Ovis aries: one gene and its partners. The protein of the gene in region 5 interacts with the protein of the main gene of each other region in a biochemical or structural test. Links are inferred from orthologs where the notes say so. Each region holds a gene or a part of one and is shown on either strand. Other genes may lie near its edges. The genes, in order: ADRB1, MCM7, DGKZ, MAS1, SNTA1, RPS6KA1 and FRMPD4.

Evidence for each region.
Region 1: the proteins of SNTA1 (region 5) and ADRB1 interact in a test that uses a peptide from one of them, tested with the Homo sapiens proteins (2 studies listed by BioGRID and IntAct). The link is inferred for Ovis aries from reciprocal best matches to the Homo sapiens genes SNTA1 and ADRB1.
Region 2: the proteins of SNTA1 (region 5) and MCM7 interact in a test that uses a peptide from one of them, tested with the Homo sapiens proteins (2 studies listed by BioGRID and IntAct). The link is inferred for Ovis aries from reciprocal best matches to the Homo sapiens genes SNTA1 and MCM7.
Region 3: the proteins of SNTA1 (region 5) and DGKZ form a complex in vitro, tested with the Homo sapiens proteins (2 studies listed by BioGRID and IntAct, with this or other methods). The link is inferred for Ovis aries from reciprocal best matches to the Homo sapiens genes SNTA1 and DGKZ.
Region 4: the proteins of SNTA1 (region 5) and MAS1 interact in a test that uses a peptide from one of them, tested with the Homo sapiens proteins (2 studies listed by BioGRID and IntAct). The link is inferred for Ovis aries from reciprocal best matches to the Homo sapiens genes SNTA1 and MAS1.
Region 6: the proteins of SNTA1 (region 5) and RPS6KA1 interact in a test that uses a peptide from one of them, tested with the Homo sapiens proteins (2 studies listed by BioGRID and IntAct, with this or other methods). The link is inferred for Ovis aries from reciprocal best matches to the Homo sapiens genes SNTA1 and RPS6KA1.
Region 7: the proteins of SNTA1 (region 5) and FRMPD4 interact in a test that uses a peptide from one of them, tested with the Homo sapiens proteins (2 studies listed by IntAct, with this or other methods). The link is inferred for Ovis aries from reciprocal best matches to the Homo sapiens genes SNTA1 and FRMPD4.

The regions. Positions count from the first base shown.
Region 1 is NC_056075.1:34,061,385-34,066,025, reverse strand, and holds ADRB1 (beta-1 adrenergic receptor), read right to left. Parts: upstream 3,356-4,641; 5' UTR 3,241-3,355; coding exon 1,696-3,240; 3' UTR 607-1,695; downstream 1-606. UniProt on the Homo sapiens protein: Beta-adrenergic receptors mediate the catecholamine-induced activation of adenylate cyclase through the action of G proteins. This receptor binds epinephrine and norepinephrine with approximately equal affinity.
Region 2 is NC_056077.1:36,789,460-36,792,490, forward strand, and holds part of MCM7 (DNA replication licensing factor MCM7), read left to right. Parts: exon of another isoform or gene 1-266; coding exon 267-404; exon of another isoform or gene 405-706; coding exon 707-856; exon of another isoform or gene 857-1,055; coding exon 1,056-1,170; exon of another isoform or gene 1,171-1,257; coding exon 1,258-1,389; exon of another isoform or gene 1,390-1,581; coding exon 1,582-1,665; exon of another isoform or gene 1,666-1,937; coding exon 1,938-2,331; exon of another isoform or gene 2,332-2,578; coding exon 2,579-2,662; exon of another isoform or gene 2,663-3,031. UniProt on the Homo sapiens protein: Acts as a component of the MCM2-7 complex (MCM complex) which is the replicative helicase essential for 'once per cell cycle' DNA replication initiation and elongation in eukaryotic cells.
Region 3 is NC_056068.1:75,287,987-75,292,483, reverse strand, and holds the start of DGKZ (diacylglycerol kinase zeta), read right to left. Parts: upstream 3,113-4,497; 5' UTR 406-3,112; exon of another isoform or gene 1-405. UniProt on the Homo sapiens protein: Diacylglycerol kinase that converts diacylglycerol/DAG into phosphatidic acid/phosphatidate/PA and regulates the respective levels of these two bioactive lipids.
Region 4 is NC_056061.1:83,844,758-83,849,243, forward strand, and holds the start of MAS1 (proto-oncogene Mas), read left to right. Parts: upstream 1-1,406; 5' UTR 1,407-1,690; intron 1,691-4,486. UniProt on the Homo sapiens protein: Receptor for angiotensin 1-7. Acts specifically as a functional antagonist of AGTR1 (angiotensin-2 type 1 receptor), although it up-regulates AGTR1 receptor levels.
Region 5 is NC_056066.1:62,900,202-62,903,840, reverse strand, and holds part of SNTA1 (alpha-1-syntrophin), read left to right. Parts: intron 1-1,754; coding exon 1,755-1,962; intron 1,963-2,117; coding exon 2,118-2,248; intron 2,249-3,639. UniProt on the Homo sapiens protein: Adapter protein that binds to and probably organizes the subcellular localization of a variety of membrane proteins. May link various receptors to the actin cytoskeleton and the extracellular matrix via the dystrophin glycoprotein complex.
Region 6 is NC_056055.1:240,301,835-240,305,889, reverse strand, and holds part of RPS6KA1 (ribosomal protein S6 kinase alpha-1), read left to right. Parts: intron 1-1,982; coding exon 1,983-2,144; intron 2,145-2,375; coding exon 2,376-2,452; intron 2,453-2,732; coding exon 2,733-2,850; intron 2,851-4,055. UniProt on the Homo sapiens protein: Serine/threonine-protein kinase that acts downstream of ERK (MAPK1/ERK2 and MAPK3/ERK1) signaling and mediates mitogenic and stress-induced activation of the transcription factors CREB1, ETV1/ER81 and NR4A1/NUR77, regulates translation through RPS6 and EIF4B phosphorylation, and mediates cellular proliferation, survival, and differentiation by modulating mTOR signaling and repressing pro-apoptotic function of BAD and DAPK1.
Region 7 is NC_056080.1:10,634,658-10,639,329, reverse strand, and holds the start of FRMPD4 (FERM and PDZ domain-containing protein 4), read right to left. Parts: upstream 3,250-4,672; 5' UTR 3,172-3,249; coding exon 3,134-3,171; intron 1-3,133. UniProt on the Homo sapiens protein: Positive regulator of dendritic spine morphogenesis and density. Required for the maintenance of excitatory synaptic transmission. Binds phosphatidylinositol 4,5-bisphosphate.

The DNA of each region.
Region 1 (4,641 bases), on a different chromosome or scaffold from region 5:
ACCTGACTCCATTTTTTTTTTTTTTTAAAGAAGATGCACAAGCTCAAATGTTACTTCTTAAGTCAAGTGTGGCAGATGGGATCTTGAAAACACCTCCAAGTAGTCTAGAATATTCTGGAACCGGCTATGAAAATGTAGGGCAAGTCTGCAGCTCTCTCTCAGTAGGTGCACGCCTTATTTGGTTTAGAGGCATTTTGCTATGCTCTTGAGTCATGAAAAGCTATTAAAAGAGCTCTATGGGAAATCCAGTCTATATTGCGAACAAAACAAACTGTCTTTTCCATTATCACTGACCCCCCTTACAGACACACAGTACATAATCTTTTTTTGTGCTTCATTGGTATTTATTGCACATGGACAAATTCCTCACATAGTAGTTAGTTGCACCAGAGTATAAATACTTGGTAAAGCACACAGAGGAAATAGTATTTACACACAAGTGCTAAATTTCACCAGCAGATTCACGTGTGCCCTTGGACATAAAAAAATAATAAAAAAAATCCTTAAGATAATTTTTTATAATATGGATACAGTACCATGATAAAAGAGTATAAAAAGGTATTTTCCAATAAATTGCTAGCTCAATAACATAACAGACAACAGAGATAGAATCTGAATTTTATTTTAGTTTTTAAGATCTGCCCCACCCCACTCCCATTAAAAAATATTTCATTTCTTTTTGTGCAAATAACATTTTCTGTGGACTTTACAGTTCCTAATACTGTGCAAAAAAAATGCCACTTTGAATCACGGCTTTTTTGTTTTGATTTTTTGTCTATACCACATGTGCAGTAATCTGAATTGTTTTCCTTTTTTCTTTTTCCTTTTTCTGTCCTGTCTTCAATGGACAGAGTCACATGTCACGAAGGCTCAGCGCCTGGTCCTTCCAACTAGTATTGATACATAAATAAGCTGTTTAATATAAACAAGTCTCTCTATCTGGCCGTGCAATGTGCACCGTGTGAGTGAGGTAGGAACCCCTCAGCCTGACCACCGAGGAGGCGTTCAGGGACAGCCCGCTTGCCCTCCGAAAGGGAAGCAAGGTGAGGCTTGTTCCAAGAAGAGCATAAAACTTCCTGAAACGCGATTTTTGCATCCATCCTTGCCCTCGGCTTTCAGAACAGGAGAAATAATTCCTCAGAAATTAAAATGGAATTTCTCTGAAAAGCAAAAGGAAACAACGTCCTGATAAAGTGTCATTCTCTCTCCTCTCTCTCTGGCTGACCGCTTCTGTTCCCAGGAATGGGATGGAAACTAAGTCGAGAGACTTTTACCTCCTAACGCTTCCCCCTTCCCTTCCCAGTCATCGCAGAAAGTGTTAAAAGCCACGTGGCGGGGGGGCGGGGGGAGGAGGGACTCTAAAGATGCATCACACGCACACACAGAAGGCTGGACCAGAAACAGGAAAAAGAACCCCAAGAACAATCAGTAAGCCACTCTTCCACCCCTCCCCAAACTTCTCCCACCTCTCCCCAAACTTTCCTTTCTGTGCGACGGTCCGTGGCTTTCCTATTTGCCCTTGGATGATGCAGACGAGGTTCGCAGGCTTCGAGTTCACCTGCTTTCGGTCTCGAGTAAACACAGACCTCTTTCCCGGGGAAGCGGTTCAGGGGCGCCCGGGTTCTCTTGCTCCTGGAGCGCACAGCCCGCGCCCGGACTGGGGAAGCCGGGGAAGGCGGGGAGGGGCGCCCGGCCCTACACCTTGGATTCCGAGGCGCAGCCCGGGCGGCTTGGCTCGTCCGGGCTCGAGTCGCTGTTCGCCGCCGCCCCGCCGTTGTAGCCAGCCCAGGGCTGCAGCAGGCGCACGGGCGGCGCGGCCCCGACGTCGTCTTCGTCGTCGTCGTCGTCGTCGTCCGAGGCGGCCCCGGGAGACGGCGACGGCCGGGCCACCGCCAGGCAGCCCGCGGCGCGCGGCGGGTCCCCGGCGGCCCCGTGGCTCCCGCAGGCGGCCCGGCGCGCGCAGCAGAGCAGGCGCTGGAAGGCCTTGCGGAAGTCGGGGCTGCGGCAGTAGATGATGGGGTTGAAGGCCGAGTTGGCGTAGCCCAGCCAGTTGAAGAAGACGAAGAGGCGGTCGGGCACCAGGTCGCGGTGGAAGGCCTTCACCACGTTGGCCAGGAAGAAGGGCAGCCAGCAGAGCGTGAACACGCCCATGATGATGCCCAGCGTCTTGAGGGCCTTCTGCTCGCGCAGGGCCACGAGGCGCGAGGGCCGCCGCTTGTTGGCGCGCCCGTTGGCCACCGCGGCGGCAGGGAGCGGCGGCCCGGGCGAGGGCGCGGGCGAGGGCAGCCGCGCGGGGCCGCTGAGGAAGCGGCGCTCGCAGCTGTCGATCTTCTTCACCTGCTTCTGGGCCTCGCGGAACACCCGCAGGTACACGAAGGCCATGATGCACAGGGGCACGTAGAAGGAGACGACGGAAGAGGTGATCGCGTAGCCCTCGTTGATGATGAAGTCGCAGCACTCGGGGTCGTTGTAGCACCGGCTCGCCTTGGCGTCCTTGTCCCGCCACCACTGCATGAAGATGGGCAGGAAGGACACCAGCGCCGAGATGGCCCACACGGTGCACACGAGGGCCCGCGCCCGCGCGCGGGTCAGCAGGCTCTGGTAGCGGAAGGGCGACGTGATGGCGAGGTAGCGGTCCAGGGCGATGACACACAGGGTCTCGATGCTGGCCGTCACGCACAGCACGTCCACCGAGGTCCAGAGCTCGCAGAAGAAGGAGCCATACTCCCAGCGGCCCCACACCACGATTGTGGCTCCAAACGGCACTACCAGCAGACCCATGACCAGGTCTGCGCTGGCCAGCGACATGATGAAGAGGTTGGTGAGCGTCTGCAGCCGCGGAGTCTTGGCGATGGCCACGATCACCAGCACGTTGCCCGCCACGATGAGCAGCACAATGAATGCCATCAGCAGGCCCATGCCGACCGTCCACTGCTGCGACAGCAGCGGGGGTCCCTCGCTGGCCGAGGTCAGCAGCGAGGCGGGCGGCGACGCGGGAACTAGCAGCCGCGCCGCCGTGGCCGCGCCGTCGGGGACCGGCGCGGCCGATGACAGGTTGCAGGGCTCGGAGGCGCCCAGGGCGAGCGCCCCCGCGCCCATGCCGAGCTGCGGAGGCCGGGGGAGAGGGGTGTGGCGGAGTTGGGCCGCGGTTGGGGAACCCCCCCAGAGGCCCGAACGGCGGGGCGCGCGGAGGGAGGTCGCGGCCAGGTCAGCGCAGCCGCGGCGCGGGGCCGGAGGCATGGGCGCCGGGCGCCTTCCCCGCCGGAGCCGTGCGCTGTCGCCGCCGCCGCCGCCGCCGCTGCTGCTGGAGCCGCTGTCGCTGCTGGAACAGCTGCCGGGACCTCAGCATGTTTCTGAGCTCGCGGAGCCCGCAGCCCCGGCACCCAGCACCCACCCCACCCGGCTCCCACTCCCCCGAGCCAACCCCCGGGGCCTCGCGTCAGGCTCCTGCAGCCAATCCTGGCGAAGGCACGCCCCTCTCTGGTTCCCCCCCACCCCCACCCGGCCCCGCCAACTCCTAGCACCCCGCCTCCACCGGCGGTTCTGCGGCTCTAGGGAGTCCGGGGCAGATCGCCAAGCAAGCCCCTCCCCAGCGCTCGCGGGTTCCTGCCCGCGCGTCCCTTCCAGAGCCCGCTTGGCTCCAGTGCCCAGTTCCCCTCGGTTCCCAGTCGCGCCCGGCTTCCACCCTGCCCCCTCCCGCGGCCCCCAATCTCCCCTCTCCTGCGCCCTGTTTGCCTCCGGCGTTTGCTTTCCGCTGCGCCCCGGCTCTACCCGCCGCCACCCATCCCATCTACCTCCAGTGCCCAGGTTTCCTGCAGAGCAGAGCTCACGCGCCCTTTAGCAGGAAGGGGACTTCGGTGTTCTCGAAACACCGGAGCGCCTTGGACGGTCTGTTCGCTGGGGGTGGAGGAGTCTGGCTGCAAGACTGTTTCTTGTATTGGGCAGCCTAGGAGGGTGTGTGTAAAGCCCTTCCTCTGTCAAGAGGAGTCCCAGCCAGCTCGCGTCCTGCCAGCTCGGGGATCGGATCGGAGGCGGGTGTGAGCGGTTAGAAGAAACTTTCCAGCGAGCGCCTTGCTAAAGCAGAGCGCGCATCTGTCAGGAACGCTCCCCGGGAGCTATTCTTGCAAGAAGCTTCTGTCGTTCCAGGGCAGCAGATGCAGAAAGCAAAGGAAGGTTTGTGCAGCTGACAGCTAATGCTGAGGACCAGTTGGAAAAATACACACTCCCAGGTCCCAGCTGATGGATGTGTGAGTATGGTGCAACGGTGTGTGCCGGTAATGTAAAGAGAGAGAGAGGCTTAAGGACAGGCATGTTAGAGTAAATGACACCGCCACGGAAGCTAGAACACGTTTAATTACTTTTCAGACTTTTCATGTTCAGTAATAACACCTGGATTTTGTGTTCTGTTACTCACGTGATTGTATGACTTGAGCTGGGTCAGTGCAAACAAAAAAGGTACATTGGCTTTGGGTGACACAGTAGTGAACTGAGATTTCAAATTTCTTGGTCTGCTGCGTTGCCTTCTCCTTTGCCCAAGTTCCCAGATTCTCAAAACTCTAGGATTAATTTTGGAGGGATGAGAGAAGAAAACATATATAAATACTCAAAAAGATTAAAATCCAATAGCATGTAAAGTTATAT
Region 2 (3,031 bases), on a different chromosome or scaffold from region 5:
ACACACTTAATTCTGTGAGAATGAGTTTCGCCTCCTGGTGTTTATCTGGTGCCTTTTCTGTTTCCTGTGTGGTCACTTTTCGGTTTCTCTCTACGGTGGAGTGGTCTTTCCACCCAGTCTGTTCTCTTTGTGTCTGTTGATGTGTACCTTGCACGGCTTAAGACAGTCCCAAAGGTTTCATCGTCTCTGCCGGAGGAGGGGCGTGGCTCCTGTGACTGAGGGCTCCTTCCTCGTGACTTTCTCTGGTGCTTCCCTTTCCACTCTAGATCCAATCTCCTACCTTCATGCCTCTGATCATGTGCCCGAGCCAGGAGTGCCAGACCAACCGCTCAGGAGGCCGACTGTACCTCCAGACTCGTGGCTCCAAATTCATCAAATTCCAGGAGATGAAGATGCAGGAACACGTGAGTTTAGAGTATGAGGTCCAGGGCCCAGGGAAGTTTGAGGTTGGGAGTTCACTCAACTCCAGTAGAAACTCGTGAAGTAGAGGGAAGAAAGTAGAACAGAGAGAGGAGCTGAGGCAGAGAAGTTGCAGAGAGTAGGAGGCAGGCTTCTCTGGAACTTTCTGACTGAGCTGGGATGTGGTAAAGGAGAGCTCAGCTTCCCTCTGTTGGTTTGTGTGGGGCCAAATAGGCCAGGGAGTGGCAGATGGGTGTGCGCAGGAGGGGAGGTTAGTCCTCCGGCCTCAAGCGCCCTTCTTCCCCAGAGCGACCAAGTGCCCGTGGGAAATATCCCTCGCAGTATCACGGTGCTGGTAGAAGGGGAGAACACAAGGATCGCCCACCCCGGGGACCACGTCAGCGTTACTGGCATCTTCCTGCCAATCCTGCGCACTGGGTTCCGACAGATGTTCCAGGTGAGGAAGGGAGTTTCAGAGGAGGAAGTGGTGGTCTCCTTCCTCCTTACCCCTCCCTTTTACCAGCCCCACAGAAGAAAGTTTCAATAGCAAAACACCAGGCAGAATGGAACAAAAGGGTTTGTCAGGAACTCCAGAGGGCATCGTGTGGTGGGCAAGCAGAGAACTTCATTCATGCCCTGGCGTTTTCCTGCCCAAGGGTTTACTCTCGGAAACTTATCTGGAAGCTCATCGGATTGTGAAGATGAGTAAGAGTGAGGAGGATGAGTCTGGGGCCGGAGAGCTGAGCAGGGAGGAGCTGAGGCAAATCGCAGGTGAGGGGTCTGCAGGAAGATAAATGTGAGTTTATCCCAAGCGCTTCTTTCCCCTGGAAAAACTCTTGAGTCTTGGCTTTCCCGTAGAGGAGGATTTCTATGAGAAGCTGGCGGCCTCCATCGCCCCAGAGATATATGGGCACGAAGACGTGAAGAAGGCACTGCTGCTCCTGCTGGTGGGAGGCGTGGACCAGTCTCCTCGAGGCATGAAAATCAGGGGTGAGTGGAGACATCAGGGAAGGGTGCCAGACCAGGGTCGCATCGGTCACAGAATAAAAGCCGGCATCTTGATTTCACGGGCGCAAGGTGGGATTAGAAACAGGGCAGGCAGACCTCAATATCCTTTTCTCTGTGTGCAGACAACCTGCATCGAGGGAACAGTCACTCAGGGGCTTCCTTCCCTTCCTCCAGGCAACATCAATATCTGCCTGATGGGGGACCCTGGTGTGGCAAAGTCACAGCTCCTGTCTTACATTGACCGCCTCGCCCCCCGCAGTGAGTATCAGACCCTAGGAGAGGCAAACTTAGGAGGAGGACCACCAGGCTTCCGTCGTGGGAGGGCCAGGGGATGGAGATGGGTGTTGGTGTCATCACCGCCAGACCTGCCACTGCCACTGCCTCGGGACGGCCCGGCTGGGTTGGTAGAGCAGTTCAGCCCAGGCCTCGCCTCACGGCCGCGTTCCCTCTGCCCTGCCGTTGCTCCCTTACTCTCCTCCATTTTCCTAAACAGGCCTGTGCGTGTCTGCCTTCCTGACCCTTCTGTGCAGGCCAGTACACGACAGGCCGAGGCTCCTCCGGGGTGGGCCTCACGGCGGCTGTGCTGAGAGACTCGGTGAGTGGCGAGCTGACCTTGGAGGGCGGGGCCCTGGTGCTGGCCGACCAGGGAGTGTGCTGCATTGACGAGTTCGACAAGATGGCGGAGGCCGACCGCACAGCCATCCACGAGGTCATGGAGCAGCAGACCATCTCCATTGCCAAGGCGGGCATTCTCACAACGCTCAACGCCCGCTGCTCCATCCTGGCTGCCGCCAACCCTGCCTACGGACGCTACAACCCTCGCCGCAGCCTGGAACAAAATATACAGCTTCCTGCGGCATTGCTTTCCCGATTTGACCTTCTCTGGCTGATCCAGGACCGGCCCGACCGAGACAATGACCTGAGGTGACTGCAGTTCTGCACTTGGGAGACACCCCCTGTAGCCATCTCTGTGCAGGGAGGAGAAACTGGAAAACCTGTTATTGTCTTAGGGAAACAGCAGGAACCTTCCCCTTAAACAGCAGGGGTTGCTCCACAGTTCTCAGAGGGGGTCAGGGTTGAAGCGCTGACAATCCTTGGCTGACCAGGCTGTGGGGTGGAGCGCTGAGGGGGCACCAAGACACAGCGCTCCTGTTGCCTCCCCTCCTCCCAGGTTGGCCCAGCACATCACCTACGTGCACCAGCACAGCCGGCAGCCCCCTGCCCAGTTTGAGCCTTTGGACATGAAACTGATGAGGTAGGAGAGCCGGACAGGGCTGGTCCACTCCCTGGCGTCTTGGCCTCTGTCTCTCTCTTTTGAAAAGCTTTCCCCCCTTCCCCTCCTCCTGGTGTCCTGGGTCTGAGAACAGGGAGTCTTGGTTCCCCCGGGCTGGCCGTAGAAGACCACGGCAGAGAACCTGCCTTCACACACCTCTACCTGCAGTCTCAGGGTTACTAACCCAGGTGCAGATTTTGGCAAAGCTGGCTTTTGCTGCCTGGGTGCCTGACAGCACTGCTCTGAGGAGTCCGTCCAGGGACTCCCAGGGGCTCCTAATGTAGTTTTTCCCTTTTAGCTGTTCTCATGAATTAACAAAATCATCTCTTAAGGCAGGTGGATTTGTCTCAA
Region 3 (4,497 bases), on a different chromosome or scaffold from region 5:
GGGGCTGCCGGGCTCCAGGGCTTGTTGCTTATGATCTGCCAGCCTCTGCAGGTGAGGGGGAGGAGGGCAGAAGAGCTCCTGGTTTCCTCCTAAAATCAGTGCCGTCCTGCCTGACATTTGCTGAGTGCCCACACACATCAGGCAGGATACTAAGTCCTTGGCAAACACGTGCACTGTTTTATAAACCACAGCACCCTAAAGAATAGACACGGTATCATGCATGGCTCCTGAGGAGAGACCGAGGAGATAATCAGCCCAAGGTGCACAGCTAGTCCGTGAGGAGGAGGCGCTGGAACCCACCTCAACCCGAGGGCAGAGTCTAGTCTGAGCTGGGACTAAGGTGCCAAAACGGCAACAGCGGTGCATTTACCCATCACCCGCTACGTGACAAGCGCGCTCACTCACCATCTGCTTTGATCCTAGCTACCTCCCCCGAGGCAGGTTACAGAGAGGAGGAAACCAGCTTGAGGAGACCAGGCCCAGGCTCCTGGGTCACACGGCTGGCCACGGGCAGGAGCGGGACCTGAACTCAGGTCTGCCTGACCCAGGGTCTGCGCTGCGCCCAGCAGAAAGAGCCTGGAGGGCCAGCGGCCCGCTGCCGCCGGGACCCTGACTTTCCAGCACTGCCCCAGGGTGTCAGCTTTCCCCGCCCGCCTGGTCAGGCCGCCCTGTGACAGCTGCCCAGCCCGGAGATTAGTCACCCGAACACACCGCCTGATGCGAGTGTCACCCAGAAAACAAAAGGCCACAGTCACTGGGGGGGAGGTGCAGCAGGCGCTTTGTGGGTGGACCCTTCCGCCTGCCCAGCCCCGCGCCTGCGACAAGAGAGGCTGGGGGTGCGGACAGGCCTTGCAGCTCACCTGCCTCAGGACACGGGGGTGACTTAGAGGGGCCCCCCCCACGCCTGGGTCCCCGCCGGGCCCGGCCCAGGGGTCTCCCCAGCGGCCTGCTGGCGTGGTCACCACCAGCAGGGGCAGGCTGGGCCAGGCCAGGCCAGGCCAGCGCCGCGTGACCTCACGCAAAGCCGCTCCCTCTCGGGCCTCAGTTTCCTTGTCGGTTGGAGGAGGCCATCAGCTGGCTGATCTGACGGTTTATGACACGCTCTCCTCTAAGGCGACCGCACCTCTGTGCTCCGACACCCCCTCCCTCCCGGCGCAGGCTTCCTGTTCCTCTGGTCGCCATAGAAACCTCTGTCCTCTGGTCAGCAAAGGCCTGACTCCTGACTTCCTATCTCGGCCCAGGCCTCTCCTGGGTCTGCTCCCAGGCCCTGCCGGCTCTCAGGCCTGTCCCGGACTCTCCTCTGCCTGCGCCTGCAGCCTCTTCCCATGGCACGGCCCTGGGCGGCAGCTTCCTCTCACCTCACGCTCTGTCAGCTTCCACACACCACCCTCAGTACATGTAAAGGTCACCGGAGGAGGCCCCACAGGGTTCTGACACCAACAGCGGAGCAAAAACGGCTGCCCTCAGCCTCCTGGTCAGGGCCCGGCGGGGGAAGCCTGTCACACCCGAAGGGAATGGGCTGGGAAAGGACTCGGGGGCCCGGAGTCGACGTCCAGCCGGCTGCTAGGAGCCTGGGGAGGAGGACAAAGGGTGCTGTGGGCAGACGGGCTTGGTGGCAGCTGGCCGGGCACCCTTGGTGCCTAGGCTCAGGCAGCTGCCGGGAGCAATGGGCACAAGAGCCCCAGCTCCATCGGTTGCTGGGCAGAAAGGCCAGGACCCGATCGCCCAGTTAGACTGGCTCACGCCATCTTACCTTCAAGCTTTGGAACCCTGTATCTGCCACTGCTTTCCTTGGCTGATCAACTAACCTTTTGGAGTCTCAATTTTCTCCTCTGCAAAACAGGGCTGAAACGACCTAGTCCAGAAGCTTTGACGTGACAGAGGTTCGGATGACATTAACGGTGCAAAGTACCTGATGACAGCCGGCAGAGAGGAGGGGCTTGGCAGGGCCTACATCCACAGCAGACACCTGGGCGTGTGGGTCGTGCCACCTACTGGAGTCTGTCTCTGCTCCCAGGTGGCTCAGTGGTAAAGAACCCGCCAGCCAGAGCAGGAGATGTAAGAAACGTGGGTTCGATCCCTGGGTTGGGAAGATCTCCTGGAGCAGGGCATGGCAACCCACTCCAGTGTTCTTGCCTGCGGAATCCCATGGATGGAGGAGCCTGGTGGACTACAGTCCCTGGGGTCATCAAAAGCCAGATACAACTGGGCATGCACGACGGTGCAGGTAGGAGCCAGAAAGGGAAGCGGGAGCAGCCAGGATGGCCACCACCCACCATACGAGGAACACAGCTAGGCAGCCTGGGCTGTGTGGGGGCCCTGCTCATGCTGGGACAGATACCCTCTGCCCCGGCACCAGATTGGGCCTCCAGGGACTGCTCTGCCTCCCAGGGTGCTCGCACAGCCCACCCTGTGGGATTCAGCCAGAGCACCCGTTCCACACTGAGTGTGGAATGCCACCCACCCCAGGCGCCACGTCCTGGTGAAGGCTGGCAACGATGCCCAGAGGTCATCTCCAGCAGCCCCACAGCAGGGCCTGCGGGTCAGAAGCCGCCCTGGCGGCTCTGCTCCCACAGCGCCGAGGCTGAGGTCGAGGGAAGGGGGTGGGGACGGCTGGAAGTGGGGCCTGCCTGGGGGCTGCTGAGGCAGGGTGCCCGGGTCTCCACTCACTAAGGGGAGACTGCCAAAACCAAACCAAAGCAAACTTCACAGTGCGAGACGTGGGCCAGGGCTGCGCGGTACGAGGGGCAACTAGGCCAGTCATGTTTACCACGACGTGGTCTGCCCCGGCTCGGGGACAGCAGCTCAGACCCCCATCCCTTCCCGCTCCCTTTCCATCAGCTCCAGGAGCCTGGTTTGGGGACAGTGGTGCCTGGGGGACCCTCCCCCCGCAACCCCACCCCGACAGGTCCAAGAGGGTTAGGAAGCAGAAGGCAAGGGAGGGTTGAGGGAAGCCCCTTTGACCTGATCTGGAAGGCAGGGTGGCAGGCAGGAGGTGCCCTCAGGTGGCAGGCAGAGCAGGCGGGTGGGGGCCGGGGTCCCCGTGGGCAGGGGAGCCCTGTTGCAGAGCTGCAGTGCCAGCTCCAGCTGCTGGCCTCCGGCTGAGCAAGTCCTAGTTTGGAGAGCGAGCTGCTGAGGCTGCTCCTCTGCCCCCTCCCCCTCCCTACCCTCCTCCCCGCCCCCCCAGCCTGAGACAGCCGTTATGAAAATAACCCGATTGGTAACCGACTGCACTTCCTCTCCCAGCAGAGCAAGCAGGCAGCGGCTGCTGGGCGGGCGGCCGGGCGGGCACACAGGGGCACGAGCCTGGCTTCCCGGCTTCTCTTCCCAGCGTCCCCAGAGGCTGGCAGGGCAACAGCCCAGGAGCTTCCCCTCCAGCCAGCCCGGTCACAAGCACAGCCTGTATCTTAGCTCCAGGAAGGCGAGGGGGCTGTGGGGGGGGGGGTTAGACGTGGTGGGGAGGTCACCCTACAGCCTCTAGCTCCCCGTGAACAGGTTTTTCCGGGGCCTGGGGAAAGCATCTGAGACAGCGAAGCACCGGCCCCAGACAAAATAACCACAAAAACAAATATCTTGTGGAGTGTTTCACAACTTACAAAGCGCTTTTTCACAAGGATTACCAGACAGGAGGCTTGTAGCTCCCCCTGCGCAAGTGACATTTCGGTCCCAGCTGAACCACCAGGGCACCTGAGGCTCGAGGAGGCCCATCATGCCCAGAGCTCAGAAGGGCTGATCCGGGCCTCCAGATCCCGGCTTTCGCAGCCCTGCCAGGGGGCCTGTCAGGTCCAGAAGAAGCCAGTCCACCTTGCACCCACCCAGCCCAGCATGCCAACCCTCGGTTTACACTCCTGGCCCCCAGAATCTAGAGCACCAGCTCTCCAACATCCTGGTCTGAGGACCCTCTTATACTCTTACAAATTACTGAAGATCCCCAAAAGGTGTTCTTTGAGAGTTACAGCTATTAACGTGGACCATATTAGCTTCCGTGGTGGCTAAGATGGTGGAGAATCTGCCTGCAATGCAGGAGACCTGGGTTGGATTCCTGGGTTGGGAAGATTCCCCTGGGGAAGAGAACGGCAACCCACTCCAGTATTCCGGCCTGGAGAATTTCATGGAGGCTACAGTCCATGGGGTCACAGAGAGTGGGACAGGACTGAGCAACTACCGCTTTCACTTTTTCGTATTAGAAATCAAAACTGAGAAATGTTTAAAACACTATTCATTTAAAATATATTAAAATACTATTTAAAAACAATAAGCCCAGTATGTTAATATAAATAACACACTTTTATGGAAAATAAGCTCTATCTTCCAACACAAAAAAAGTAGCGAGAAGACTGGCATGTTTTAATTTTGTAAATCTCTAATGTCTAGCTTATTAGAAGACATCTGGACCCTAATATCTGCCTCTGCAGGCAATCTGTTGTGATATGTTAATTTGGCTGAAGTATATGAAGAAAATTCTGCCTCACCCTGACAAGTAATAAGAAAAGGAGA
Region 4 (4,486 bases), on a different chromosome or scaffold from region 5:
CGGTCCCAGTTTCCCTGCAATTTCTGATGATCTTCGGGGCAAAGGAAAGGTCTTCAGGAGGCTGACTCTCCTTCTTTGGAGCATCGCATCCAGGTAATGAAATCGCACTGAGTCTCCCCCATCTTCTGCTCTGCTGCTTAGCACTGCCTGCCCAGTAGGTGCCCGGACCTCACCTTGTTCTGCCTGCCGTTTGGAGACCTTCAGGGAGGTGCCCTGGTACCCCCCTCCTCTTCCACTGGAGGGCAGAGCCGCGGGTCAGGTTTCCCACCAGGCCAATTTGGCTGGCCTCTCGTCTTCTTGCTTACGAAAACAGTCGGAAGAAGGCTCCGTCTGTGGCTCCTAAGGCTGCTTTCCCATAGAATCCTGATTTGCTTTCCTGCCCTCTGTTGATCAAATCAGTCCCAGGAGTCCACGGCTACTTTGCCGCAGTAATCGTGAAGGAATACTTTGGGGGAAAGAAAAAGGAATAAATGCTGCCACAAATGGGTGGTGGGGGTCTTCACCACAAGGCTTGGCTACTCAGACCCTCCAGAAGCCTCTTGCTTGGTCTTGGCGCCTTCACGTGGGGTCTGTTGACCAAGAAGAGGGTCTCAGGAGAAAGTAACTTGAATGCCTGGGTGAGGATCTGCATCTCACAGAAACAGCTGCTCCCAGGAATCGTCTTTGAGCCAGGCTGAGAAGCGAGCTGGGCACTGGTGCTCATCCACCCCTGGGACCCAGTTCTGGGCTCTCTCTCTCTCTCTCTCTCTCCTCCATTGCATCACACTTGCACACTCACATGGGCATGAGACTCTCTTAACATGGGTTGTAGGAAAGGAAAGGAAAGTGTCAGTTGCTTAGTTGTGTCTTTGCGACCCCATGAGCTGTAGCCCGCCAGGCTCCTCTGTCCTCGAGGAGTCTCCAGGCAAGAATACTGGAGTGGGTTGCCATGCCCTTCTCCAGGGGATCTTCCCCACCCAGGGATCAAACCCAGGTCTCCCACATTGCAGGCAGATTCTTTACCATCTGATCCACCAGGGAAGCCCTATAGGAAGGCAGGGGATATTGAATTGTTTAACCACGTGTCCCTCACTGTGCAGGTGCATTCCTACACCTCATTTAACCATTGCAGCTTTGGGTCATGATGAGTTCCATTCTACAGGGGACAAGACTGAGTCTTCCAGAGCTTGGCAGAGACCACTTGGCCAGTCACAGGCTGAGTCAGGAATCTGAGCCGCGGCTCTCTTTCGGCTACACATGCGATGTTGCCCTTCTGTGCAGTGTTTCTCTGGGCTGTCTTCTGCCTCAGCCCTCGCTGGCCCTGGTGGTTCGGGGTGGGAGGGAGGTCAGTCACCTCACGTGATCACCAGCCTAGTCCCACTCTGGATCGGAGTGAAGATTTTCACTTGAGCGTGTCACTGAGCGATGCCATTTGAAGCACAGCTTCTGCTGATAAGCGTGGGACCATCTGCTTGGCACATCTCGAATTTTTTCAGCAGTGGGAGAGCAGCTCTGATTTCCTCGGAGAAGGCAGGCTGCAGGCTGCCTGGAGGGGATGTGGGCACCGGGGACCCTGCAGGTCGGCAGGACAGCGGCGCCCAGGACGCGAAGGTCCAGCCTCCCGGTCGCCACCTCTGATTCCCTCTGAGCGAATGGACCGCGTGAGCCTGCACCCCGGTTTCTAACTGCTCAGCTGACCTTGACAACCAAAGTAAGATTTTTCCATCTTCCAAAAGCTATTGCCCGGACCACCCTTTCTGTGCTGGTGGTTTTAATAGTGTATTAGATGTCTGCTCCGTGTTGCCAAAAACCTCTCTCCTGCCTTTGTTTTGGAAAATTTGCTTCTATTGCTGCATTAACTGTCCCCAGACGTCAGTTTTCAACTTTTGGGGTCGAAACTTCCACACTAACTTTTTCTTTCTGACTCGTGACAGGGGGGCGAGAATCTTGGCAAGAATCTCAGGTCACAGAGTCAGTGGTGGACTTGGAGGTGGTCAAGGTTGTTTAAAGGGATATTATCAAGGATAAAGGAATTGGGGTTTGAAGGGGTTGTTGCTGTGTGTTTGGTTCCTCTGGGGATATCACTTGGCTGGAGGCAAGCTGGGTTGATTCTCCTCTGCCTTCCTCAGAGGGCACTGGTGTGTCAGTCATGGTTTCTGTTGCTTCCCAAGTCAGGTGCGCAGGTGGCCAGGTTCTGTTGAAAGGATTCCCCTGTTCTTTGATGTGAGCATCTTGGCAGCATTTCCCAGGCAGGGTGGGTAAGGGGAACCGGAGAGAGAAAATGCGGGATTTCGTCCGATCGCTATGCAGAGAGCAGGGAGAAGGTGGTAAGGAGCCCACCACTAGGTATCTTGACCTTGGCACTGTGACATTTGGGGGCTAGAAATTCTTTCCTGTGGGAAGCTCTTCAGTGCCTCCTGGGATGTTGAACAGCATCCGTGGGCTCAGCCCACTAGGCTCCAGTTCCCTCCTCCTCTCAGTGTGACCATCAAAACACTGAATGTCCCCTTGGAGATAAAATCACCCAACTCCCCCCACTTTCGAGATGAGTGGTCTAAGGTGACCTTGCTGTACCCTTGGAAAGGGAGTGAGGAGTTTCTGCTTCTCTGTGCAGACGGCTCGAGGGAGCGAGGCATTTAATACAAGGACAGATGTCCCTGCGGCACATTCCCATCAGATCCAGTGCCTGCCATGGAAATTCCATCTCACGAATGGGTCTCTGTTTGTCCAGGTTACTGCACACACACGGAGGCGGGCACGTGCCCTCTCTCCAGAGCTGCACACCTGCAAGGTCCAGCCTGGGGGCCGGTCCCTCCTTTCGGTTGCCTAGGAGCGTATGAAGTTTCAGATGGCCTACCCTGGACACTGGTTGGCTTTTCACTCTTGTTCTTTTTCCTTTCCTTTCCTTTCTCCCTCCTTCCCTCCCTCCACCCCTCTCTTCCTTCCTTCCTAAGATGGCTATCGTAGCCTGAGAATTCAGGACCAGGGTAGGACCGTGGGCAGCTGAGCGGAGAGGGGGCTATGGAAGAGGATGCTTTTCTTTTAAGAGAAAACTGCAGCAAGCACCTGAACAGAGCCTTTAAAACTCTGCTTCTACCTCCGACTCTGCCTTTTCTCATCTCTCTCGCTTTTCTGTCACCCTCGCTGCCCATCTGTTCATTGAGAAGTGAATGCAGGTAGCAGTTTCTAGTAGACCTGCCAGCCCGCATCCTTAAACATCCATGGAAACCACCATGCTTGTTTTCTCTGCTTGTTGATTTATGATTTCAGTTCGGCGTTTCCATGAGACTTGTACTGGCAAAGTGCTTTTCAGTGTCTAGCTTTTCTGACACCCCAGGCTTCCAGAAATACAGTAAACTATGTGCCAATGCTGCGAAGAACCTGGGGTTCAGAGGGGCGAAGCTGCTTTGTTTAGTACTCACACCTGTGGTCAGTTTGAGTGGAAGTGTGGCTCTCAGGCAAAGAAGGATAAGCAGACAGAATACAGTTGCCCCTGCAACATAATTTGAACAATGTCCAACTGTTTTTTCTGAACATTTCTTTTGCATTCAAATGCTTCACTGACTATGATTCTTTTATATTTGCGGGAGGGTGGGTGTTATGTTCTATCATAGCCTGGTTCATCATTTGTTCAGTTCAGTTCAGTCACTCAGTCCTGTCTGACTCTTTGCGACCCCATGGACTGCAGCATGCCAGGCTTCCCTGTCCATCACCAACTCCCAGAGCTTGATCAAACTCATCCATCAAGTCAGTGATGCCATCCAGCCACCTCATCCTCTGTCGTCCCCTTCTCCTCCTACCTTCAATCTTTCCCAGTCAGGGTCTTTTCCAGTGAGTCAGGTCGCCAAAGTATTGGAGCTTCAGCTTTAGCATCAGTCCTTTCAATGAGTATTCAGGACTGATTTCCTTTAGGATTGACCGGTTTTATCTCCTTGCAGTCCAAGGGACTCTCAAGAGTCTCCTCCAACACCACAGTTCAAAAGCATCGGTTCTTCAGCACTCAGCTTTCTTTATGGTTCAGCTCTCACACCCATACATGACTACTGGAAAAACCATAGCTTTGACTAGATGGACCTTTGTCAGTAAAGTAATGTCTCTTTAATATGGTGTTAGGATTATCCTAGGTTTTCTTCCAAGGAACAAGCTCCTTTTAATTTCATGGCTGAAGTCACCATCTGCAGTGATTTGGGATCCCAAGAAAATAGTCTCTCACTGTTTGCATTGTTTCCCCATCTATTTGCCATGAAGTTGATGGAACCAGATGCCATGATCTGAATTTTTTGAATGTTGAGTTTTAAGTCAGTTTTTTTTTCCATTCTCCTCTTTAACTTTCATCAAGAGGCTCTTTAGTCCCTGTTTGCTTTCTGTCATAAAGGTGGTGTCATCTGCCTATCTGAGGTTATTGATATTTCTCCCAGCAATCTTGATTCCAGCTTGTGCTTCTTCCAGCCCAGCATTTCTCATGATGTACTCTGCATATAAGTTAAATAAGCAGGGTGACAATATG
Region 5 (3,639 bases):
GCTGCAATAGAGAGAAAACCAGCACGAAGTAATGAAGACCCAGTACAGCCAAAAATAAATACAGACATACATAAAAGAGAAACCCAGCAGTCAGCTATTTATGCTGCTACTGATGGTCAAGAGTACCCTCAAGGCATCAGGCTTCCAGCTGCTTCTTCTGCCATCTTTTACCATTTTTATTAAAAAAATTTTTCTTGGCTGCACCATGAAGCTTATGGTATCCTAGTTCCCAGACAAGGCATTGAACCTAGGCTCTTGGCAGTGAAAGCATGGAGTCCTAATGGCTGGTCTGGCAGGTAATTCCCCTCCTGCCGTTTTTTAGTGTGGATTTTCTTCTTCTTGGAAATAGCTTGGTGCCTGCACCTCTATGCATGTGTCCATATTCTAGACAGGGAGAAGGCAAAAGACAAAGGAATTGTTTCCCTGGTATTTTGTTCTATCACTGCATAAACAGCCATCCTAAAATTTAGTGGCTTAGAAGATAGCACGTTTAATATTTTTCACAGTTCTGTAATCTGGGCTGGCTTAGCCAGGCAGTTCTTCTGTTCCTTGTGCCATCTGCAGGGGCTACAAATCCAAGAGAGCTGGTTCACCTATGTGCCTGCTTCCTCAGCAGGGGTGGTTGGAACAGCTGGCGGCTGGCTAAGCATTCCTCTTTTTGTAGGGCTTTTCCACGTGGCTAGCTTGTTTTCCCTCTCAGCATAGGTGACCTTGGGGTAGTTGGATTTCGTGATCGCTTAGGAATGCCAAAATGGCACTTCTGCCACATTTTGTTTGTCAAACCAAGTCGGAAGGTCAAGGAGAGGAGAAATAAACTTCACCTCTCGGTGAGAGAGTGCATATAGGGAGAGATGAGTTTGGTGGAGGCCATCTTTGGAAACGAACGGCCCAGCTAGGAACACTTCAGTTGGGAAGGGACTTCGCTTTCTATTTCAACAGTCAGAATTGGATTGATGGCCAGTGCTAGCTGCAGGGGAGATCTGTAGTGGAGGAAGGCAGAGGTGAAGGCATTGGAATGGATATGTGCAAGCCATTCTCCAGTTTCTGCCCCACTTCACTGGTTACAGAAATTCCAAAGGGGAGTGAATCTTTAAAGCCCCACAGAACTTTCGAAGGTCCTTTCCCTGCCACTGACTCCTCTTGGACCTCCTTGAGACCTTCCCCTTACACTTGCCTGTGTGGCTTTTTGTCTCCCCACGCTTTCCCTTCACCATACCCTGGCTTTTTCTTTTCTTTTTTAACCATACAGTGTGCCTTGTAGTGGTGCTTCCCTGGTGGCTCAGTGGTAAAGAATTGACCTGCAGATGCAGGAGACACAGGTTCCATCTCTGGGTCGGGAAGACCCCCTGGAGTAGGAAATGGCAACCCACTCCAGTATTCTTGCCTGGAAAATTCCATGGACAGAGGAGCCTGGCTGCCTACAGTCCATGGGGTCTCAAAGAGTCAGACATGACCCAGTGACTAACACAATTACTACTACTACACTTTTGGGTGTGTGTATTTGTGTGTATATGCCTGTATGTGTGTTGGAGAGAGAGATGTAGTCTCTTATCCCAAGATAAGATAAGATAGATAAACCCCATGAGGCCCAACAACTGTGGCCAGAGCCCAGGAGCGGGAGTTGCTCCTGATTCTTTCATGGACATCCCCTGTGGTTTCCTCTGGTTTTGTGGTAGATGGGGGTTCCTTGGCTCAAGTTGTAGCATTGGGCACCTGTCCAGTGGGACTCCCCTCTACCTCACTTGCGCCTGCAGGTATCTGGAGATCTGCTCGGCTGATGGCCGGGACACCCTCTTCCTGAGGGCCAAGGATGAGGCTAGTGCCAAGTCCTGGGCGGCTGCCATCCAAGCCCAGGTCAACACTCTGACGCTCCGGGTCAAGGATGAGCTGCAGGCGCTGCTGTCAGCCACCAGCACAGCCGGGAGTCAGGACATCAAGCGGATAGGCTGGCTGACTGAGCAGGTGCCTGCCGGGGCCCCGGGGACCCCTCCTCCCCTCTTCCCCTCTCCCAGAGGCGACCCCAGTCCCATTTCCCCTCACTGCCTCACCCCGCCCTGGCCCTCTCACCTCTCTTCTCCCCTCCCTGTCCCCTCTCACTGGTGCCTTGCCTCCTGCAGCTGCCCAGTGGGGGCACAGCACCCACCTTGGCCCTGCTGACCGAAAAGGAGCTGCTCCTCTACAGCTGTCTCCCCCAGACCCGTGAGGCCTTGAGCCGGCCGGCGCGTACTGCCCCCCTTATCACCACCAGGTATTTGCGGGTAGGGCAGGCCTGTGTGTCCCACCCAGAGCTTGTGGGGGCGATGCTCTAGATGGACCTCAGAAGCTGGGGACTCCAGCCCCATTCTACGCTGAGTTATTCCCCAGGTGGCCTGAAGCAAGTCCCTGCCCAGTCTGGGCCTTGGTTTCTTCATCTATAAAATGGGGCCTCAGAACAGAAGGATATGAGGTCCTATCAGTCACTCACTCATTGACACCTGCTCTGTCCAACCTGGTGCTGCCTGGTTCAGATGAAAGACAGTCCCTAGAGGTCTCTGTCCTCAGGGAGGACCCAGCCTGGTGAGGAGACTGGCCTGGAAACAGCCTTTACAATGCAGAGTGTAGGAACCGCTTAACTCTACCTGGCCTGCAGGTGGGGGTGGTGCAAGGCTTCAGGTAGAAGATGACATATGAGCTGGACTTTGGCAGATGGGTAGAAATTTGCTATTTAAGGAAGGGTGGAGAAGCATCTTACACAGAGGGAACAATATAGTCAGAGGGACAGAAGCATGAAGAGCTCTCACAGCTTCACAGAGCTCACTGAGTGTGCTATAACCAGGGTGTAGACTCTGTCTGGGAAGTGGAGAGAAAGAAGGCAGGGAGTTGGCAGGCCCTGATCTTGCAGAGCTTCTGTTGCGTGGATAAGGACTTTTAGCTTTATCTTAAGAGCTGTGGCAGACAGAGTGAGAAGAGTTTTAACCTGAGAGTGAGGTGTCTCGTCGGGTCCTGTTTTAAAAAGGATCTGTGTGGCTGCCATGCAGAAAATATACTGGAGGAGGGGGATGGGAGCAGTTACGCTGGAGAGACAGTGGAGGTGGGTAGAGGCAGCAGATGGAGAAGAAAGGCCGCATTTGCATTGGAAACACATGGTGGGAAAATTAACCAGGCTTCGTACTTGCCAGATGGGGAGGGTGAGGGAGGTGTCCTGATGAATGGATGAACGGGAGTTTTAGAGCTGGTGTCTGGGTGGGCAGTAGGAGTGAGGGTGGGAGTGCAAAGGGAGGGGGTTGGATCAAGATGTTGAGTCCAAAGTGTCGGTGGGGGGCGGGTAGGTAGGGAGCTTGGGTAGGAAACTGGGGAACTTGTGAGTCTGTTGCTTAGGGCTGCCAAGTAGGAGACTGGGCATCAGAAACAGCTCCAAGGGGGAACTGAAGCTATAAGAGAAAGCTTGTGGAGTGAGGACCAAAGAGGGCGAAGGTATAGAACTCTGGGGTCTGCTGCCCTGGGAGGGCCAGTGAACTGCCCAAGGTTACGCAGCAAGTGGGAGTCAGGCTGTGAGGTGTGGGCCCTTGTTGCTCATGCCTCCTCACTCCAGGCTGCATTCCAGCACACGTGTCAGGAGCCTGCTGCCTACTAGGGATGAGCAGGTCATGAACGTTCTAC
Region 6 (4,055 bases), on a different chromosome or scaffold from region 5:
GGTCAGCAGCTGTGCGATGCTGGACTCAGAAAAGTTCCGGGTTAGTGTCGGAGATCTGAGAGTTGTTAATAATTAGGTGAGTTAGTGACTCTGAATGGAACCATGCAGAGGGAGAGGGTGTGGATGAAAAGCAAGTGGGATGCGTCAGCCTCCTCCGGTTACACACGAGTACATGGGGCCAGGGGAGGGTCATGTGCTTAAGGCCTCGGCAGTGTCGTTTGTCCATTTCTTCAGCAGGCATTTATTGAATACCTACTGTGTGCTGGGAACTGTTCTTAATGCTGGGATGCAGCAGTGAGCCAAACACTCATGGAGCTTACATTCCAGTGGGTGGGTTCTGAAGACGATGAAGTGAATCTCCAACAGTGGTAAACGCTGTGGGTAAAGATAAGCAGGGTGAGGAGAGTAAGGAGTACTGGTCTGTGGTTGCTGTTTTATATGGAATGGACCAGGTGGCGTTTTATATTTCATATGGAATGGTCCAGGGAAGCCCTGATTGGTAAGGTGACAATTTGAGCTGAAACCTGAAAGAAATAAGAGAATGAGCCAGGCAGATGCCTAAGGGGAGAGTATTCCAGAAAAAGGGAATAGCAAGTGCAAAGGCCCTGGGGCAGGAGTGTGCTTAGCACTTTGAAGGAAGAGCAAAGAGGCTGGCGTGGCCAAAGCCAGCTGAGCAAGGAAAGGAGTGATAGAGTGCCAGCGATGTGGGCAAGCAGTAGGGGAGAGAGGAGGTGAGGCCACCAGGCCATCGTAAAGACTGTTCTTCCTAAGAGGGGAACCCTTGGAGGTGACATGATCTGACTTACATTTAACAGGATCACTCTGGCAGCTCTGTTTAGAACAGGCCATAGGAGATGAGACAGAAGCAGAGAGACCGGTTAGGAGGTTGTTGCCGTATTCCAGGGGAGGGATGATAATGGCTGGGATCTGCATGCTGCTAGTAGAGGGGCTGAGAAGTGCCTGGGCTCTGGACATTAAAAAAAAAAAACATTTATTTATTTGACTACCAGGTTTTAGTTGTGGCACTCCGAATCTTTAGCTGTGGCGTGTGAGATCTTGTTCCCTGACCAGGGATCAAACCTAGGCCCCCTGCATTGAGAGCACAAAGTCTTAACCACTGGACCACTATCCAGGGAAGTCCCCGGATATATTTTAATGGTAGACCCAGCTGTGTTTGGTGATGGATTGATAGAGTCATTCTTAATTCCTCTTTTTTTCTCATATTCCTCAAAGATTTTGACCCATGCAATGGGAAGAATGGAGTTGCCGTTAGGTCACATGTGTGGTCCCCCGCTTCCCAGGTGGTGCTAGTGGTAGAGAACCCGCCTGCCAATGCAGGAGACATAAGGAGACGTGGGTTTGTCTGATCCCTGAGTTGGGACGATCCCTTGGAGGACAGCGTGGCGCCCACTCCAGTATTCATGCCTAGAGAATCCAGTGGACAGAGGAGTCTGGTGGGCTATAGTCTGTGGGTTCCCGAGTCAGACACGACGGGAGCGACTTAGCATGCGTGCATGTACACACCTGTGTGGCACGCAGCTTTGAGGAGTTCCCTGTGGATGGTGAAGTTAGAGCTGACAAGTGGCTCAGTGGTAAAGAACCCGCCTGCCAGTGCAGGAGACACAAGAGTCTTGGGTTTGATCTCTGAGTCAGAAAGACCCCCCGGGGTAGGAAATGGCAACCCACTCCAGGATTCTTGCCTGGAAAATTCCACGGATAGAGGAACCTGACAGGCTACAGTCCATGGGGTTGCAAAGTTGGACGCAACTGAGCACGCGCACGCACACAGACATTGACCTAGAGGGTTCAGGTTGATAACACCAGCAGCAGCAAGGCCCCTTGGCAGCCCCTTCCCCCCTTTCAGATTCTGGGTCCTTCTGCCCCCTCTCTGGGCCCATCTTCTGACTCTCCCAGCCCTGGCAGTGGACCTGGGCCCCGGCAGCCTGCCCACCTGGAGGACTGACCCAGCCCCCTGCCCCCAGGTCGTGCACAGGGACCTCAAGCCCAGCAACATCCTGTATGTGGATGAGAGTGGGAATCCCGAGTGCCTGCGCATCTGTGACTTTGGCTTCGCCAAGCAGCTGCGGGCTGAAAACGGGCTCCTCATGACACCTTGCTACACCGCCAACTTCGTGGCACCTGAGGTGAGCGGCCCAGCCTCCTCAGCTGCGAGAGTGAGGGGGGGGCCTGGCACAAGGGCCTTGTGTCCCTTCCAGAGGCCCCACGCTGTCCAGGACTCCAGTCTGTGTGGTCTCAGTCCAAGTACCAAGGCAGGATCAGCCCATGCCTGGGACCCTTGTCCTGCGTTTTGGGGAGTAGCAGGCAGGCATGTGCCCCTCAGCCCGACCACCCTCCCCTGCCCGCCTTCCTGCCAGGTCCTGAAGCGCCAGGGCTATGATGAAGGCTGTGACATTTGGAGCCTGGGCATTCTGCTGTACACCATGCTGGCGGGGTGAGTGCCCCTCTGGCCTGCACCCTGTCTGCCCCCACCCTTCCTCCAGCCCTAGTGTACAGGCTGGGGTGTTGCTTGTCTGATGGGAGAGACTCATCCCTGCTTCAGGAAGAGCTGGAGACAGGGATGTGGTGCTGCCTTTGGGAGCTCCACCTTGGGGAGGAAGTGCCGCCTTTGGGGGCACCCACTCTGAAGGGGGAGATACAGTCCGCCCCCCGCCACCCCGGCCACCTCAGTGGAGGCCAGAGGCCATACCCACACCAGGTGGACTTTCCCCCAGATACACTCCATTTGCCAATGGACCCAGTGACACGCCAGAGGAAATCCTGACCCGGATCGGCAGTGGCAAGTTCACTCTCAGTGGGGGAAACTGGAACGCGGTTTCGGACACAGCCAAGGTGAGCCTGTAAGGCCTGGGCCCTGCTCACTCAGGGCTGGGGAGGCAGGGTCCCATCCCAGGACTTTTCAGCGTTTCACAGGCGGGGGGCTGGCAGCCTCATTTCTCCATGTGGAATATCCCACAAACCTCTGTTGCTGTACTTCTGCAAGTGGAAGATTCCCAGGCAGACTGCTCCCCCTCCCCCGCCCTCTATCTTGTGTATTGTTTGGGCAACTTGGTGATCATTCACTGGCCCTTCCTGTGTTCTGGGCCCTGAAGGGGGACAGAGGGCTGCATCGTCACGGCCCCTGCCTCTTGGGGACTTAGTGTGAGGGGACAGACAGGTTTGCACACAAGGGGACAGAGAAGCAGATCCTCCTGGTCAGAGGTATAGGCAGTGGAGACCCAGGCAGGGCTACGGGCCACCAGGCAGACAGGCCTTCTCAGAGGAAGGAACATTTGCGCTTTCAGTACTAAACAACAGGTCCCAGTGGTGGGAACCTCTGTGTCAGACGCTGGGTTGAGTCCTTAGTGAACAGTACCCCCTCACATTGACGTTATGCTGCTGCTGCTGCTAAGTCACTTCAGTCGTGTCCGACTCGGTGCGACCCCAGAGACGGCAGCACACCAGGCTCCCCTGTCCCTGGGATTCTCCAGGCAAGAACACTGGAGTGGGTTGCCATTTCCTTCTCCAATGCATGAAAGTGAAAAGTCAAAGTGAAGTCGCTCAGTCATGTCCACTCTTCGCGACCCCATGGACTGCAGCCTACCAGGCTCCTCCGCCCATGGGATTTTCCAGGCAAGAGTACTGGAGTGGGGTGCCATTGCCTTCTCCGATTGACCTTATGAGTTGGGTACTTTTGTCATCCTGTTTCTCAGAGGGGAAGCTGAAACTCAGAGGGTCAAAGTAACTTGCCCCAGATATCCAGTCCACGAGCAGCGGAGTGAGGTTTTGATCCTTCCCAGCCCCACCCTTTGGTTCTTCCCATCTTCCTGCCCGGCTTCTAGACAGTGAAAGAGGAAAGAAAGGGCCTTCCAGGAAGAAATCCCCAAAAAGGGCATGTGCCACTTGAGGAGGCCCTGGAGCAGCGTGGAGAATGGGTCGCAGGGGCTACTGCAAGGGTCCAGGCGGGAGATTGCAGGAAACAGCTGCCTTAGCCATTCCCCATCAGCCAGGCCCAGCACTCTGCTCCCCTGCTAGCCTCTCCCACCAACTCCTTGCCT
Region 7 (4,672 bases), on a different chromosome or scaffold from region 5:
GGGATGACCCAGAGAGATGGTATGGGGAGGGAGGTGGGAGGGGGGTTCAGGATTGGGAACTCATGTACACCCGTGGTGGATTCATGTTGATGTATGGCAAAACCAATACAGTATTGTAAAGCAAAATAAAGTTAAAAAAAAAAGTCTCAATTATCTCAATCGAATTAGCAATAGCATTAACTCTGTTATCTCAATCGAATTAGCAATAGCATTAACTCTGAGATACTAACTTTGAACACGTGAACCTTGGTTCCTCCCATAGCTCTGTCCATCACTTAGAAGTAGTTGTATCTCCATCAAAATCGATCGTCTGATGCGAGTTATCATTTAGATCTCAAGACAAGATAAGAAAGAAGACATTTCTCTTTCAAAGAGAAAATGTAACAGAGTTGAAAAGTAAATGAAAAGGTGCTAATTACTAATAATAGGTTAGTTTTCAAATTGTTCTTTTAACTTCTAAAACTAATGAGTAGAGAAACACTTTGTAATTTCTTTGTAATGGACATCAGTTACTCGGTAAGATTAAAACTCAGAATGATTCTGATTATTTATAAAACTCATACTATAAAACTCATTAGTGCAAAGAAATAACAAAGACTTTCAAAAGAAATACCATTTTTGACATCTTTAAACAGTATCTTTGAGAAGACTGTGGAAATTTACTCCTCAAGGAAGAAGCGCTGTGGATTTAGATAAGTGATACCGGTGACTTTGGTTTTAAAACTTGTCATTTAGTAATCAGTGCAGGCTTCTCTAATAAGTTGCTGATCTGCTCCTTCATGTTTCAACAGCTGGCATTAGGCCAGTGTAAATGTTAAATTGACACCTGGGCTGGCCCTTAAAAATGTCAATGACATTGTTGGAAATGCATATCTGTAGATCTTGTTGAGGTTCCTAGAATCTCCAACCAATAGGCCATCGTTTGGGTTTGTATCTATCAATCAACTGGCCTCTAATGTACAGAAGTCTCAATCCAACCACAGACAAAGAAAAATCCATTTTAATTAGGGAAGCATGAGTTGTACCATCACAAAATTCACAACTCATGTGTTTTCTAAATTACATTTCTTTGGCAGAAATTTTTATTGTTTTGAGTCAATGCATCTAGGCCACCTCAACTGTGCCAATTACGTAAATTCATATCCATGTTTTGAAATAGATGGCATAATATAATATCATCTTTCTACCATTATGAGGGATGCAGGCAAACTGTTGAAATTAGCGAACAACAATATAGAGTGTAAAAAACTCCTGGGCTATCTTCATATCTTCAAGATTCCTGAGAGATTCCTTCCCCATCCTATTTAGGAAGGACCCAGGAAGCCAGCCCTACAGTCACAAACTGAACTCTGAAGAGAAGTCCTCTCCCCTCTGCAGAGACTAGGAAACCACTAACAACACCCACAGGAGTTTTTCCGGAGCTACTCGCCAGCAGTCCTAACTTAAATGTGCTGGACTATCCAGAAGAGCAAATACTCAATAGCAATCTTGGCAGATGTTTCCATTTTTGTAAAAATGATCCCCTATCTCTCATGGATCCTTTATTTGCTAATTAGTCCATAGTCCGCTGGGCTGAAACAAACAATGAAGCCTGTGGTATTGAAACATTTTTTCCCCTTGGCCTACAACCTCTGTTCACTTCTATTAGGCTAGGGCCAACTATGCTTTGGGATTTCAAATCTTGTTCACTAATTTCTCATAATTAAGAATATTTCACTTAGATTGGAGAAGAAAACAGAGTGGCCTCTTGCTATTATTAGAGGTGCAATATAAGCACTTTTTTTACACAACTGCAAAAAATCCAGAGCACTATACCCTCTGTGAAAAACAGTTTGGTTATTCTTGGAAAAAATGAACATCTAACTATCATATAATCCAGCAATTCCACTCCCAGGTATATACCCAAAAGAATCAGAAGCAGAGACTCAAACAGATACTTGTGCACTAATGCTCTTGTGTGCATGCTACATCTCTTCAGTAGTGACCGACTCTTTGCGACCCTATGACTGTAGCCCACCAGGCTCCTCTGTCCATGGGATTCTCCAGGCAAGAATCCTGGAGTGGGTTGTCTTGCTCTCCTCCAGGTACTAATGTTCACAGTAGCATTATTCACAAGAGCAAAATGGTGGAAACAGCTCAAATGATTGCAGACAAATAAATGTATAAACAAATGGGATCTATCCATACAATTAAATATTGGGGGGGGTCAAACACTTCATTTGGATTTTTCAGTAAGATTTGACAGAGAAACACGAACTGTTAGCCAACCCAGTATTACTTGGTCTTAAAGGAATGAAATTCTTAGACATTCTACAACAGGAATGAACCTCGAAAACATTATGCACAGTAAAATAAGCCAGATAAAAAAAAGTACAAATATTGTATGAGTTCACTTATATGAGATACCAGTTACTGGGGGGAGGGGGAATAGGGAATGACTGTTTAATGTGGACAGAAGTTTCTGTTGGGGAAGATGGAAAAGATCTGGAAAATGAAAGTGGTGATAGTTGCAAAATAGTGTGAATATAGTTCATGTCCTTGAATTGTACACCTAGAGGCAGTTAAGATGGTAAATAAAAGTTACCATTATGTTATATGTAATATAACCATTATATATATAACATAAATTAAATAATTGGTATGTAATATATATTTTAGCACAATTGAAAAAAAAAAGAAAAGCACCACAAAATATCCAAAACCTTAACCAATGGTAGTGGGAGAAAGTTATAGGACAACCCATAACGCATGTAATCCTCTCGGATGATATTTCTAGTTAGAGAAGAACCAGTAATATTTCTGTCTTAATCATTTCAAGAAGGCTTTCCAAATGACACTCCTCCATGTCAAACTTTATTCACTTGTCTCAGACAATGAATACAACTGGCCTGAGATTCAATAACATACATTTTTGCTCTGGCCCAGGAGGGCCTAAAATGGCATGAGCCCAAGAACAAAGCAACCTCATATCACCAGATATGGAAGGTCCAGGCAATCAGTTGATTGAGTCATGGCCTCCAAGTGCCCAGGAGTCTGCAGTTTAAGAATGCTAATTCTATGGAGTCAAGGGTCAAAACAGAAAAGTCCCAGAAGGCAAAGTTGGCACCGTTCATGAATGTTGTGTTCAACTTACTTGATGAAGCAGTCTCGGCCATCCCGGTTTGCCGTCATCTCCCATCCATAGGGTGGTACCTGGTTCAAGCCCCAGGTTCCCGAGGGAGGTGGCCAGCCTGAAGACTTCGTCCTGTGGCTGGAGGAAAGAAAAAAATCATTACACCAGACTCTTGGAAATTTCTTCTCTGACAAATTCCAGAAGGGGCACGGGACTGGCTCCTCTCAACTGCGGGCTGTATACTCAGCTGACTACATGAACGGTTAGGACGTTTTTAGGTCATGTACTGGGCTCACAATCTGTCTTTACAGTATCTTGTTAGCTTTTCAAAGCAGCCTTACATATACACATCTTGTTTCACAAGATGGGGAAACGATGAATAGCTCACAAAGATTAAGCAACTGCCCTGAAGACACACAAGCCAATTTTGAACGTTCACACTTTCTATGACACTAGGCACTCCTGGGACCAGATATTAGGATGGACTGACAAACAAACAGCTATCACAACACAATATAAATGCACACATGAAAATAAATTCCTATTTTTATACATCTGAAACAAATAACTCCAAGCCTCAGTTTTCTGAACTCTGACTAAACTACAAAATTTCCACTTACAACTACACTCAAAGTGAGTCAAAGTGAGTCAGAAAACCTTAGACAAACTCTCCATTTATGTTGCAGTGAAAATACACACATTAGCTTTTACATTTTCTAGTTCACACCTTAAATGTGACTCAACAGCAAAATGAAAGCGTAGGTAAAAGAAAATTTTCTAGAAGCTTGTCTTTTCAAGAGCAACAGGAACAAGGAAGTGACTCCATATCACAAGCAGCTGTGATGAGCAGCGTTGCTTGGTGACAATTGCTAACCAGAGGCCTAGGGTCCAGTTTCTGAGGCATCACTGAATCCTGGCCAATGCTGTTCTGCCCGGGACCTGCGGGAATTCCACTGTTCTCTCAGGAACATGGGAGACTCCTTTAGAGCCCAACTGTGGGAAGGAAATACATGATGTCATCTTAGGATGTCAACCAACATCCTTGACCATTTGTCCTGTCTCTAGGTGATATTTCTTACTCTAGATGGCCTGCTAGATCTTCTAGGTGGTTCCAAATTGTAGATGGGAACAAAGTGTATATGCGTGTGTTAGAGGTTGGGTAAGAACAACTCCAGAGTCTCACAGTTAGTGTCTCAATAGTGAACCTGGAGCCCTTCATATATTAGAAAGAATCGCCCCCTCCCCCTGCACCATGTATAACATGCACAACTTGTACAACCATCTATGGCGGGCCTCCCACAGTAAATATCCAAATCAGGGGTGTCAACCTGCCTGCAAGGAGGGGACAATCTTCACAGGATGCAGGGTAACTCAGCTCCACCCCTACTCCCACCCCCATCCACACATTTGACTCTGACCCAATGCTTCTCCCCAAGGGAAACCAGCCCATTTCCTGAAAGGTTTCTGAAGAGGAACTAGCTTACAGAATTTTAACTACCTCCACTGCCTTTAACTTCCATTTCAGTTTTCCCACATCCTCCATAAAGTGTGGGGAGCAAA